Linked DNA regions of Elephas maximus indicus. The protein of the gene in region 1 interacts with the protein of each later gene in a biochemical or structural test. Links are inferred from orthologs where the notes say so. Each region holds a gene or a part of one and is shown on either strand. Other genes may lie near its edges.

Region 1 (7,262 bases):
TGGCAGCAGTCAACAACACAACAGTATTATTGTGGGAAATTCTCAGCATTTCTATGTGGAAGACTATAAAAAATTTTAGGCACAAAATGGCAACAAAATATTAAAAAAGGAACCCTGGTGGCACGATGGTTAAATGCTTACATACTAGTCAAAACCCACTCAGAGGCTCCTTGGCGAACAGGCCTGACTATCTGCTTCCTGAAAGGTCACAGCCTTGAAAACCCTTTGAAGAAGTTCTACTCTGCACACGTGGGGTCACCCTGAGGTGGAATCTACACAATGGCAACTAACAACAACATATTAACTGACTAAAAGGAAACAATAATCTCAACCACAGAAAAAACTTTGATAAAGCGCAAGAATCCATTAATCCATACTTATATAATTTTTTTTATATAAATAAAGGAATAAATGAGGAAACAAATGGAGGAGGGAAAGCTTTTCTTTACGATAGAATGTCGTCTAATAATTATAAAACAAATGATAAAACCCTCTGAATTTCAGTGGGTTAAACTTCTATGAGGAACAATATTTACATAGTATTAAAGTACTTCACCACCAAATACTTGCTAACTACAAAGGGAAAAGATAATAACTTTACAGTAGAGAACCTCGCAGATAGCATTTTAATCAAGGGATGAAAGTGAGCATCATCAGTATTAAAACTGTACACCACCTGATAAGATGAAATGAGAAGACAGCATCACTTCTGTGATACAGTGTATTCCTATCCAAGATGCAGAGCCCGAATCAAATCTGAGGAAACATCAGACAAACCCAAACTGAGGAACATTCTACAAAATAACTGTAATCTTCAAAAGTGTCAAGGTCATGAAAATCAAGGAAAGACTGAAGGAGACTAGAGAGGTGAGACATCTGAATGCTCAAATGTCACTTCTGATTGCCCTAACTACCCTATTTAAAATTCCAACCCCTCCTCCACCATACTCTCTATGCCCCTTCCTTGCGTTGCTTTTCTCCATAGCACTTCTCAACTTCTAATGTACTGTATATTTTATTTATTTTTCTATATGGTTTGTCTCCATCACTGAAGTGCAAGCTCCATGAGGGTAAGGATTTTTATCTGTCCTGTCCACCGCTGTATCCCTAGTGCCTAGAGTAGGGTTTGGCGTACCAGATATTGGAAACGTGAATAAATGCACACACCACAACTGTTCAAATCATTCTCATCCTCAAGACTCTATTTTTAAAAAGTTCCTGAAAATCCGTAAGTACACCAACCCAATAGAAAGGAGGCAAAGGACATGCACAGAAAGTTCCCAGAAAAAAAAAAAATGCAGTTATCTTCAAATCTGTGAAAAGATACTTAAACTCACTCATAATAAGAGAAATGAAAATTCTAATTACAGTGATTGACAAACATCCAAAAGCTTGACAATACACTCTGTGAGATTGTGAATAAACCGGCACTCTTCTATGTTGCTGAAGGCAATGCAAAATGCCTTTCCCCTCACCTCTCCCTCTACTTTTCCCCTCTTTCTTACCTCCACAAGCTTTTTTTTTTTTTTGCTCAAGTAGTTTCCTCCAACTCTCCCCTCTTGCTTGTCCAAGTCAAATTCGGCCTCAATTACTGCCTCTGAGACATTTGAAGGCAATCAGTTCTTCAGAGAAGAACTCTGACACATCCATGGCATCAATTTCCACCTCTCATGAGCTCAAATCCGTATCTCCAGCCCAGACCTATTCCCAACCCCTGAATTTCAGACCCGGTCCCCAGCTATTCACTCAACTGACACCTCTACTTGGATGTCTAACAGCAACAACAAAAAACCAAAGCTGTTGCTGTTGAGTCGTTTCCTACTCACAGCAACCCTATAGGACAGATTGGAACTGCCCCATAGCGTTTCCAAGGAGCGGAGCTGCTGATGGATTCAAATTGCTGACTTTTGGTTAGCAGCCGAGCTTTTAACCACTAGGCCACCAGGGCCCCATAATCATGTCCAAACTTATCATGTCCAAAAACACACTCCTGATCTTCCCCCATATCTGCTCGTAATGGAGTTATGTGCCATGTCAGTTGATGGCAACTCTATCCTTCCAGCTGCTCAAGCTAAAAGCCTGGGGGGTCAGCCAGGACTCTATCTTTCATGCCCTACATCTGATCTCTCAGCAAACCTTGGCATCCTTACCTTCAAAATCAATCCAGAATCATCACTCCTCACCACTTCCACTTTCACCATCTTGGTCTGATCCTCTCATCACTTCCTAGACTCTTACAGTAGCCGTTTCACAGATCTCGATTCTTCCACCTTTGCCCCTATAACCCTCTTTGTCCCTCCATACAGAGCAACCAGATTGTTCTAAAACATAATTTATATTATGTCACTTCTCCGCTTAAACCCCTTTTAAGGCTCCCTACGGATCTTAGAGTAAAAGCCAAACAAACATCTCAGCCTGGCTTACAATACCCTACTTGATTTGGTGTCTGATCTCATCTCCTAATACTTTCCCTTCCTCATTCCTCAAGGAGCCCTGGTGGCACAGTGGTTAAGAGCTCGGCTGCTAACTGAAAGGTTGGCTTGTCGAACCCACCACCTGCTCTGCTGAAGAAAGGTGTGACAGTCTGCCTCCCTTACTCTGTCCTATAGAGGGACTATGAGTCAGAATCAGCTCAGTGGTAATACGTTTAGTTTTTTTGGTTTTCCTCATTCCTCTCCATCTACACAGAATCATGCCACGATCCTTCCAACCTCAAGGCTTTGCACCTGATGTTTCTTTTGCCTAGAATGCTTTCCTCCACATTTACACATGGCTCACTTCCTCACTCCCTCACTGCTCAAATGTCACCTCCTCAGAGAGGCATTCCCTGACTATTTTAGACTGTGGGTATCAGGCAAGGCTTCTCTGAGGTGATGCAAGATCTTGACAACTGCAAGGGGACCCTTGCTATGTTCCTTGCTATATCCCCAGGGCCCTGCACTTAGTGGGCGCTCAATAAATCATTTTCAAATGAACGAATTTGGAGGTTGCTAACAGGGTATGAGATACAGAATTTGGGATAAGGTGATAAAGATATTCTGTGTTAAATAAACTCCTTGGCACAAATGTCATCTTTTCAGTGAAACCTTCACTGGCCACACTGTCTGAAATTGCAGCCTATCCCCACAGATTCCCCTTACCTTGTCCTGTTTTCCCCCATAGCATTTAGAAGTTAGCATATGTATACAATGTTATTGTTAAGTGGGCCTCAGGTATACAGAATGATGCCCTGTCCTGTGCCATCTTCATGATCATTGGTCTGTTTGAGTTCATTGTTGTGGCTTCTATGTCAGTCCATCTCATTAAAGGGTTTCCCTCGTTTTCACTGAGCCTCTCTACTTTACCAATAAATATTTATTTATATAATTCACACATTAATATATGTATTTAACATAAAAAAAATTTATTATACCAAAACCCGTTGCCATTGAGTCGGTTCCGACGCATAGCGACCCTATAGGACAGAATAGAACTGCCCCATAGAGTTTCTAAGGAGCGGCTGGTGGATTTGAACTGCCGGCCTTTTGGTTAGCAGCCTGAACTCTTAACCACTATGCCTCCAGGGCTCCAAATTTATTATATACAGATGTAAATCATTTTAATAAATACTAAGGCTCCAAATTTATTATATACAGATGTAAATCATTTTAATAAATACTAGCTAGGTTAAAAAAAAAATTTTTTTTATCATGTTAAAAAAATTTTTATCATGATAAAAAAATTGTACATTACACATAATTTATGTCACATGTTTATTATAATACATATTTATATGTGAAATTATGATTTTTTACTTATTTGTTATGTTTATGGTCTGTCTGTCTGTCTAGCTAGAATGTCAGTTCCATGAGCACCTGGCCCACAGTTTAAGCTCCATAGATGTCAAGTGAATGAACTCCTCTGGCCACCTGAGCCTCAGTCTCCCCTTCTGTAGGGTGGGTGTGCCTTTCCGTTTGGAAGCACCTCCACGTTCTGCTCCCTTCTCCCACTCCCCCAAGAGCACTGCGCCCGCGGCCCAGGTTTACATTTTCCCTTACCCTGGGAGCCGATGCCCACCACGTGCATCAGGCGCTGGCCAGACAGGACTACCACCCCCAGCATGCCCCGCGCCGTCCGGGACTACCACGGTCTGTAGGGGTGTCTGGGTCTGAAACGGGCGCTGGCTGCGCGGAAGCAGGGACAGGTGCCCCTCTAGCCAAGCGTCTGTGGTAGGGCCCAGCCCAGGGGACCTCTAAGGCCCCGCGCTTCTGAACTCCGAGCAAACTCTGGCTCCTATTGCACGACGGAGGTGATTTGCTCTTCCGTTGATCCGTGGCATCGGCTCATCTCTAGCAGGAAGGCGAGGCTTCCGCCCGGCCCAGGGGGTAAGATGGAGCACAGTGCCCCCAACCCTTGGACAGCATTTGGAACAGGGCGCTCAACTTCAGAATCCCCTAGTGGGCGCATTTGGAGGCTCCAGGCCCAGGGTAGCATTTAGGGGTGTCTGTTTTGGAAGGATCCTTAGGAGGTGGCATTTGAGGACTCCGGGTGGGATTTGGAAGCCTGTTTTGGGGCATACCCCCTCGGAGGCAGTGTTTAGGGGGATGTTTGGGGAGACCAAGAAGCCCCGGTAGTACAGTGGTTAAGTGCTCTGCTGTTAACCGAAAGGTCGGCCGTTCGAACCCTATCTGGGGGAGAAAGATGTGGCAGTGTGCTTCCGTAAAGATTACAGCCTTGGAAACCCTATGGGGCAGTTCGGCTTTGTCCCACAGGGTCTCTATGAGTTGGAATCGACGGGAAGGCAACGGGTTTGGTTTTTTTTTTCTTTTTGGGGGGCGGGGGGAGAGACCCTTAGGGTCCACGTTTGAGTACTCTGTCCATGAGGGAGGAATTGAGGTGTCCCCCAAGCAGGGAGGCGGAGTTTGAGGTTCCTGAAGTCAAGGCGCAATTTTGGGAGAGTTTATATTAGGAAGTGTCCCGCTGACAATGTTTAAGAACGTTCAGGACCGATGTGGCATTTGGAAGGTATTCATGGCCATTGTGACCTCTGATGGTTCCATGATGGGGTACTCTCTGCACTTGGGGAGCCAGGGTGGTGAGACTGAGCACGTCGGGGTCCACACGTTTTTGGGGAGAGGAACCCCGACCCCATGCTGTGCCCAGGGACTCCAGAGCCCGGTCTGCTGGGCTTTTCCTGAGAGGAGCAGATTTTTGCCTCTTTCACACCTGGTCCACTGTAAGTATTGAGTTGTGAATTATTCACGAGGGGGCGGGTCAGTGTGCTGAAGCTGGGTTTGGGGTCTGCCACACCAAACTAGAGCTTATTGACTATTCATGCAGGTGAGTAGAGCCTCATGTTTTCTGCGGCCTTTCTAAGGGCCCATTCCCACCCCATTGCCTTCCAGTCAATCCTCATTCATAGTGACCCTATAGGACAGACAGAACTGGCCCATAGGGTTTCCAAGACTGTAATCTTTACAGAGGGGCCCTGGTAGTGCAGTGGTTAAGAGCTCAGCTGCTAACCAAAAGGTCGGCAGTTTGAATCCAACAGCCGCTCCTTAGAAACCCTAGGGGGATGTTCTACTCTGTCCTATAGGGTCGCTATGAGTCCAAATCGACAGGATGGCGATAGATTTTTTTAATCTTTAGGGAAACAGACTGCCACATCTTTCTCCCACAGTGCGGCTGGTGGGTTCGAACAGCCAACCTTTCGGTTAGCACAGGAGCGCTTAACCACTGTGTCACCAGGGCTTCTTTTCCTAGGGGCATTGCGTATAATTCATGAGGGGCATGGCTTTTGCGGCCTCTTCTACATGATCCGTGGTTAGCTTTCCCTCGTAGGTTCCAGTGTATAAGCCTTGCATCTAGCGAAGGAGTGGAGCCTCATGCATTGTTCATAATTCCTTATGGCCCAGTATCCCATGTTATCAACAAAAACTCTGGATGCAAATCTCATCAATCCTTGCCAGCTGTGTGATCTTTGGCAAAGCTTTTGTGAGCCTGAAAAATGGGTATGAGGATAATGATAATAAAATTAGCAAACACTCATTTAGCACTTTATTAGCTCATTTAATCTTCACAACAACTCTGGGAGGTAGGTTATTATCACCTTTTATAGATGAGGAAACTGGGACACAGTTAGGCTAAGTAATTTGCCTAAGGTTACACAGCCAGTGAGTGGCTGAGCCAGGATTCAAACCCAGTCTAGTTCCAGAGTCTGCAGTCTTAACCAAGTGCCATAATGCCTCCCCACTCCTCCCCAATATAATAGTACTACCACTAATGTTAGTCATATAGCAGTGCCAGGCACTGTTCTAAGTGCTTTGTACATATTTACTCATTTAAACTCCTTCACAAGGTAGGTTACTATTATTATTACCATTTTATGGATGGGGAAACCAAGGCCCAGAGAGGTGAAGTGTCTGGTCCCCGGCCACACAGCCAGCAACTGGTGGCCAGAAATGTAAGGGTTTAAGTTTTTTTTTTTTTTTAAGGAGGTTACATTTGAGTTGAGACCTGAAGAACCGGAAGGAACCTGTTTCCTCCTCTGCAAAACAGGGCTAATAAAAGCACCACCTTCACGGTGTTTTCCTGAAGAGGATATCAGTGGCACAATGCATAGAAAGGACACACCACAGGAGCTACCACTTAGTAGGGGATTAGTTACTGTGGTCTGTTATTATTTAACAGAAATGTGTTGAGTTCTTACTGTGTGCCTGGGGCTTTGGCATATGGTTGTATCTGGTGACCTGGTAGACTGTCCTACTTATTTCACAGACATTGGTTGCCTTATCATGCTGTTTTCCAGTATTCTTCCGGGAGGGTGTTTCACAGCATTATTTTTTAAATAATGCTCCAAGTGGGGGTTTCTCAAGTGACTGGGTATACCCTCACCCAGAACTAATTTCATATTAATATAAATACATATTTATAAATTACCTTTATATTACTATGTAATATTTTAAAAATTTAAGTGTTTTTGTGCCAGCAGTGGTCTAATCTCGTCCCATAATTCATATCCTCTAATTTTCATAATAACTTATTTCAACCCCATGAGGTGGGTGGGTTCTGTTACTATACCCATTTTCAGTTGTGGAAACTGAGGCATCTGCCAAAGGCATGTAGTGAGTCTGGGTTTGGTGGGATCAAGGCAGTCCTGGCTCATGAGCAGTTCAGGGGTGGCGAGGAGGGGACATCATTCCCTCTGTGACTCTGCAGCATTGTCTTTCATTATTTATGAACCGGGAGGCGTGACCACATTGTCTCGGCAACTAGGCAGTAGT
Region 2 (7,124 bases), on another chromosome or scaffold:
TGCTCTTTAGGGTTCTAATTATTGGGCCCATCTGGGCAATTCAGGCTAGTTTCTCTATCATAATTAAGGTCAGATATTTACTAACCTTAACTACCTCTGCAACACCTAGATTATTGTCTGATTGAATAACCAGAGTATCCTTAGATCTTCAGAGTTCTGCCTACAACACATACCCCAAAATTCCATATATGAACATATAAAAACACACAAATACAAGACACTCTGCAACGTAGCATTTGAAGTCAACTGCTATTCAGGTTCTATTCCTGCAAACTAATTAACAATGTGGTTGAAATAATGGATAAGCCTTCCGTAAGTACAGTAAAAAGAAAGAAAAAAAGCTTTGCTAATGTAAATATTCTTAGGAAATACAAGTTCAACACCGCAAAGGCTGGACTGAAGCAAGAAGACTGGCCTACTCCCCCCGCAAAGCAAAATGAATAAGGAAGTGATATCTGCTCACAGCCTAGAAATAGGGCTAAACAGACTAAAACAAATACAGAAACACAGACCACAATGCTTGTAGTCAGTAAATGGTAGGTGATGAGTTCATACCTGTCTGATCCCCCAGCTTGGTTTCCCATGACAAGGTAGAGACAGTAGCCTCCCACCACCATCCTCTGTCCAGAGTGAACCATCTCCTCCACAGTCCCCTAAAAGTCTGCTTTAAATGCAGAAATACATGTTCCTACCGTAATGAACACAAGGTAAGTAGTGGACCTTATTGAAACACTGACTTTAAGGAGCCTGCATTTGACAAGTTTGGTTTGCTCCTGCCAAACATCAACTCTCCCTGTGCAGCACACAAGCATGTGTATTCACCAATTATTTTTATTATTCTTATTTCAGTTTATTTTCAACTTTCTTCCAAAATTATCCTCCATCTAATTATAACAACAGTAACAACTAACGTTACTGAGAGCTATGAATCCGGGATCTTGCTAAGCCCTTCACCTGCAATATCAACTTTGATCTTCACAGATGAGGAAGTTGTAGAGAAGTTAAGGGATTTGCCCGAGGCCAGAGGGAGGGTCTCAACCCAGGTCTGCGGCTGCAGGGGCCACACTCTTAACCACGCTACCACCTTGTCTCCTATCAGTCAATTCAAAGGTTTCTGGCACCTTCAATCACAATGGCATTCCATAACTTCTCATGGCAGCAGGCCTCTGAGTTTTATTCCAAGAGAGCATTTCACTTTAAAAAGGTACAATAGGGTATTCCTAGGCTTCTCACAGGGTCGCTATGAGTTGGAATTGACTCTACAGCAACAGGGTTTAGGCTTCTCATTTCTCCATTTACTTTCCCCAAAATACTGGAAACACTTTATTTACTGCCTAAGAAAGCCTTAACTAGGTTTTCTGAACACTACCTAGGAAGAGTAACAGGTGACACTATTCAAAATCCCTGATCTCTTATTAGAGAGAAATATAAAATCTGATCTTTCAACTACAACTCATCACAACGAGCTTTTTCCTTTTAGCAGGAAAATAACACTTTTTTAAAAAACTTTTCAGTAGGCAATTCAGGCTTTCCTCCCCAACTTCTTGCACATTTGTAAATCTGCAACTTAAAAAAAAAAAAAAAAAACATTGCCACCGAGCGGATTCCAATTCCTAGCGACCTCTACAGGGTTTCTAAGGCTGTAAGTCGTTACAGAAGCAGACTGCCACCTGTCTCTTTGGTTAGCAGCCGAGCGCTGAACCACTGCACCACCAGGGCTCCTTAGTCTGCAGTTAAGGGGCCTCTAAATTACTAAAAGGGGCGGGGGGGGGTATTTAAGCATTCTAAACTAACACCACCACAGTACTAATGTATTTATTTAAGTATTTCTCTTTGTTTATACACTAAGAAGTAGGGTAGCTAGTAGGCACAAGAGAGTACCCACATCCCAGACCGTTTTATGACAGTCACAGTGTACCAAACCAAATCACATTTGCTTCTAACACGCGAACAAACAAGCATGACTCAGTGGTTTGGGGAGTCCGGGGCTCCCACATGGGAACTAACTGAAACACCTACACAGCTAGCACAGGGGTCATCTGGAACCTTCTCGGGTCCTCTGCATCCTCAGGGCACCGTCCCATCAGGCCTGGGTGGTCCGCTGGCACCCTGATTTGAAGCCGCAACCTCGGCCCACACCCCTGGACCCAGCAGCGCTGGAAGGGGATCCGCCCGACTGTCGCCGGGACGCAATACTGCGAGGCGAGGCGGGCACAGCCGGACGCGTCCCGCCTCGAGGCCTGCGGCCAACCGGCTATCCCGAAGGAGTAAAGGCGAGGGGCGGCCCGGACGGCGTCCGGGGTGGGGCAGGCCCGCGGCAGGGGCTCGAGCGTCGGGCAGCCCCCGAGAAAGGCCGGCGCGGGGCCCCGAACTCACGTTTGTACTCGGCCATCAGCCTCTTGAGCGCCGTCCCCGCCATCGTCCGGGCAACAGCAGCTCCCTGCGCCCTCGCCTCATAAGGGCCCGTCCCTCCCGCCCCGATGCCGGCGGCTGCTTCCGGGTTGCCGTCGCGACCAGAGAAGCTCTTCCGGGTCGCTGAGCCAACCGAGTGCCCAAGCGCCCCCGGACCCCGGGGCTCGGTCTGGAGGAAAGTTCCGGCCGCGCTCCTCGGACCGAGCGGCCCGGTGTGGGTGGCGGGGAGCGGAGCGGACGGGGCCCTTTTGGGATCGATGACGTCCCGACCGCTGGGCTGATCCCAGCGTGATACCGCAGTTTCCGGTTTCTGCAGGACCGAGTCCTGGATCCGTGGGCGCCCCGGTGTTTGTCATTACCGTGTTGTTTTATTCCGGCTGTGCGCAGAAATGACCGGTTTAGACGGATAACGTCAACGACAGCCTTAGTGAGAGCGCAGGTGTTCCGGCTGAGGCCTGGGGGCCGGCGGCGAGGGCTCGGCTCTGGCCCCGAGTTCAGCCGGCCTTGGAGCAGTGCTGGAGTCAAAATTACCGCTAGCGTGTTGGTCCAGTTCACGGAGATGACTTTCTCTTTATTAGGGGTTTTAATTCTTCAGGCCCAACTGAGGCTTAAACTGTTCAGGAAGGAGACATTTGGTGCGCGTTCGGAACAAAACTCCTCAAGCAGGCCTTAGGTTTTTAGGGAGTAGAAGAAGGTCGGTGATCGTGGTGGTTTTATTCTTCATTCGAGGTGGCCAGGCTGGAACTCTGATTCCCAAAGCTCTGGATCAGAGAAGAAGCTGTGGGAAAACAACGGGGAGCAGAGCAGCCACCCTCATGCCGGGTGGGCAGTGGCCCCCATTCTTCCTGCCTGCCAGCTCTGCTGACCAACACTGACCTGGGGTCACCACCCAAAGCAGAGGCAGCAGCCTCCCAGATTTCCCCACAGGTCCCTTCTGGGTCCAACGGGCTGGAGTTGTGCCCACTTCCCGGTGCCACAGGAGGGCTGATGAGTGACTTCACCTTCCTCCAAATCCCACATGGCCTCTGCTTCTCCACCTTCTCCCACAATGGTGCAAGGTTTATCCCTGTAACCAGTGAGACCTTTTTCTATCGTCTGGGTTCTACTCCCGGTTGACCTGCAGGGATTGGGTGATGTATTTATGCTTCTCGGAACCCGCATCCTTAATGACTTCAAGGAAAATGAGCACACTTAGTACCTGGTGGCTGTGCTCAGTATGTGCCTTTTGTATAAACAGCCCTCACTTCCTGCCTGGATTGTTGCAGTCGCCTCTTAATTTGCCCTTCCCTCTTTGTTTTCAACATAGCAGACATGACCCATTTAAAAGATGTCAAGTCATATTGACACCCGGCTGCTCCCATGTTCCTAAGTAAACACTCGTGTCCCTACAGTGGCTATGATGTTCTGCCTCTGCCTCACCTGCAGACCCCAGCACCCTGGCCACCCCCCCAGCCACTCTCATGACTAGTGTCTCAGTGCTGGCTTCTCCATCTTTGGGGAGCACCCATCTCTTAGTAGCCCTTGTGTCCCCCCCTCCCCACCCCCATCTCTTTCAAGTCTGTTCAAATGTTAACCAAATTGGTGTGGCCTGCCTGTCCCCTACCTAAAACTGCAGCCCTACCCACCACTTGCCCACTGGCCTTTACCCCCACCTCACTTTTTTCTCCCCCACACTTGTCCATTCTATATGATTTATTAGCGCACTATATAACTTACCTGTTTCTTCTAAACAGGAGGGTAGGGATTTTGCCTCCGTACCTGGACATGGTGTGCTCTCAATAAGTATTTGTTGAATGAATGAAATTTAACAGTGCAAACACGATTCATTAAGTTTGCATGTTTTAGGGTAGGAGTGTCACCAAATTTCAGTCCAGCCCTGATTTTCAAAGGACCACCTGTGATTCAGAAAAATTATGTGGTAGTTAAGATACTTTTAGACTGTTTCAAAGAGTAATGGATTTGGACAAAAGGTTACAAAGTTTCCTCCCCCCATCCCAGACAGCAGCCCACTCCTCTGTGATCACAAACCCCAGCCAAGCCCCAAAGCAGTCGGCAGACCCACTCCATTGGTCACAAGGGGGTGGCCTTCCCATGTCTTCTCAAGGAGAACAATTCAGCTTTTGCAGTTAAAGGAAGTGCAGGCGATGAAAACCATCATCGCAAACGTCAGGACGACGCTCAGAACAGCGGCCCAGCACATCCTGGATGCTTTCTGAGTCAATCCCTTCCAGACCTCACTTCCCAACGCACCGCGGAGCACTGTGTCTGTCCTTCGGTAACAATCGTAGGAAATGGGTTTTACAGTTTATGTCAGGATTCACTTCACATTCCCGTGGCAGAAACCCAAAATAGGAGGTGATTAAACAAGATGAGGAACCCTGGTGGTGCGGTGGTTAAGAGCTACGGCTGCTAACCAAGAGGTCGGCAGTTTGAATTCACCAGCTGCTCCTTGGAAACCCTGCGGGGCAGTTCTCCTCTGTCCTACAGGGTCGCCGTGAGTCAGAATCGACTTGTTGGCATTGGGTTAAACCGGATGAACTATTTCTCCCGGGTAGATGCGTAAGGCTGGCTCGAGTATCTTCAGGGAACCAGGCTTCTCTTGTTCCACTGTCCTGAGCACATCTCCTCACGCTCCAGCTACTTGTTCTTTATCCGAAATTCAAATTTAACTGGGATGTATATTTCTATTTAAGGAATCTCGGTGGCGTGGTGGTTAAAGCACTCGGCTGCCAACCAAAAGGTTGGTGGTTCAAACTCACCACTGCTCCATAGGATAAAGATGTGGCACTCTGCTTCCATAAAGATTACAACCTTGGAAACCCTATGGGACAGTTCTGCTGTGTCCTACAGGGTTTATATGAGTCAGAAGCGACTCAACAGCAACAAGTTTGGTTTTTTGGTATCGTTATGGATTGAATTGTGTACCCCAAAAATGTGTATCAACTTGGCTAGGCCATGATTCCCAGAATTGTGTGGTTATCCATCATTTTGTGGTCTGATGTGATTCTCCTATGTGTTGTAAATCCTACCTCTATGTTAATGAGGCAGGATTAGAGGCATTTATGTTAATGAGGTGGGACCCAATCTATAGGATTAGATTGTATCTTGAGGTATCTTTTATACCTTTTGAGATATAAAAGACAGAATCGAGCAAAGAGACCTCCTACCACCAAGAAAGCAGAGCCAGGAGTGGGGTGTGTCACTTGGACCTGAAGTCCCCGTGCTGAGATGCTCCTAGACCAGGGCAGGATTGATGGCAGGGACCTTCCCCCAGAACTGAGAGAGAGAAAACCTTCCCTGGAAGCTGGCACCCCGATTTCGGACTTCTAGCCTCCTAGACTGTGAGAGAATCAATTTGTTAGTTAAAGCCATCCACTTGTGGTATTTCTGTTATAGCAGTACTAGATGGCTACGGCAAGTATGTATGTATTTATTTATTGCTGTATCTGGCAACTCTAAACCCAGATAAGTTGGTACTGGTTGTCCAAGTGTTCTGAGTAGCAGGCATGTGATAGTTACTGACTTTCCTAAGCAGCACACACTGGGGAGGCAGCAAGTTCAGAACAAAATTATGACTTTGATATTCTCGGCAACTAAATTTCTGAAGGATAAAAAGGACCTCGCGGCTGAACCCGTGTTACATGGTACAGCTTTAATATTGCACTTTAATATTGCACTTCTCAATGTGCTGCTTCACCTGTGCAGCACAGCTCAGGCGACCCACTGTTCCAGTTTGCCTGGACTGAGAGGGTTCCAGGATGTGGGAGTTTCAGTGCTAAAACTGGGAAAGTCTCAGCTGGGACCCTAGGCTACAGATAACAGGATAAATAGGGCCCATCTTCCTGAAACACCAATTTAACCCATAAACCAAACCAAAACAGAAACCCTGGTGGCACAGCAGTTAAGTGCTATGGCTGCTAACCAAAGGGTCGGCAGTCTGAATCCACCATAGATGCTGCAAGTTAGCCGTTAGCCATTGCCCTCGAGTCGATCTCCGACTCATAGCGACCCTACGGGACAGAGTAGAACTGCCCCATAGAGTTTCCAAGGAGCACCTGGTGGATTTGAACTGCCCACCTTTCGGTTAGCAGTCGTACCTCTTAATCACTATGCCACCAGGGTTTCCTAATTCTGTAAATTAGGTTTATGGAATTCAATGTTTTTAAAAATACCAGTCCTAACAGATCCATTATTTCAGATGTACCACTTGGTGAGTTTCCAAGATAAAGACAACCTGGAGGGCATTTCCTGCCCTCTCTTCCACTGCCAGGTGTTGAGGGTGGAAATCCACGCAGCACGGCTGTAACGCAGCCAAGTCGACCCTCAGCCATTCTGCTTTTCTAACTGAGGGCATCTTGGGCACACACCTCTCCTCACACAAACTAAGATGCTCCTTCGCTCAGGTTGTAGCCACCCCTCCCCTCCTAGCAGAGAGGACTTGGCAAATTGGTCAAGCTCTGTAATGCGCTCTGATTTAATCCCTACAGTCTTGTGGTGAGTCAAGTGCCAGCCTGGATGTGCTCAGTGTCCCCACTGCCATTGACCTTTCGCCTTGTGCTCACTTCAACTGACGAACAAAACAGCCCTGGCACTGTCAGCCCTGGTGCTGCCACAGCACAGCGTGCTGAGAAACTGTCCGCATCAGATTAGCACCAGTTCACTTCTGCTTCAACACAGGCAATGAGCGGACTGCCCACGGCACAAAGGAAAAC

Evidence for each region. The genes of interacting proteins can lie anywhere in the genome.
Region 2: of the proteins of UBA1 (region 1) and UBE2G2, one has a biochemical effect on the other in vitro, tested with the Homo sapiens proteins (5 studies listed by BioGRID, with this or other methods). The link is inferred for Elephas maximus indicus from reciprocal best matches to the Homo sapiens genes UBA1 and UBE2G2.

The regions. Positions count from the first base shown.
Region 1 is NC_064846.1:124,611,752-124,619,013, reverse strand, and holds the start of UBA1 (ubiquitin-like modifier-activating enzyme 1), read left to right. Parts: upstream 1-4,158; 5' UTR 4,159-4,364; intron 4,365-7,262. UniProt on the Homo sapiens protein: Catalyzes the first step in ubiquitin conjugation to mark cellular proteins for degradation through the ubiquitin-proteasome system.
Region 2 is NC_064820.1:229,237,563-229,244,686, forward strand, and holds the start of UBE2G2 (ubiquitin-conjugating enzyme E2 G2), read right to left. Parts: upstream 3,017-7,124; 5' UTR 2,420-3,016; coding exon 2,377-2,419; intron 1-2,376. UniProt on the Homo sapiens protein: Accepts ubiquitin from the E1 complex and catalyzes its covalent attachment to other proteins. In vitro catalyzes 'Lys-48'-linked polyubiquitination. Involved in endoplasmic reticulum-associated degradation (ERAD).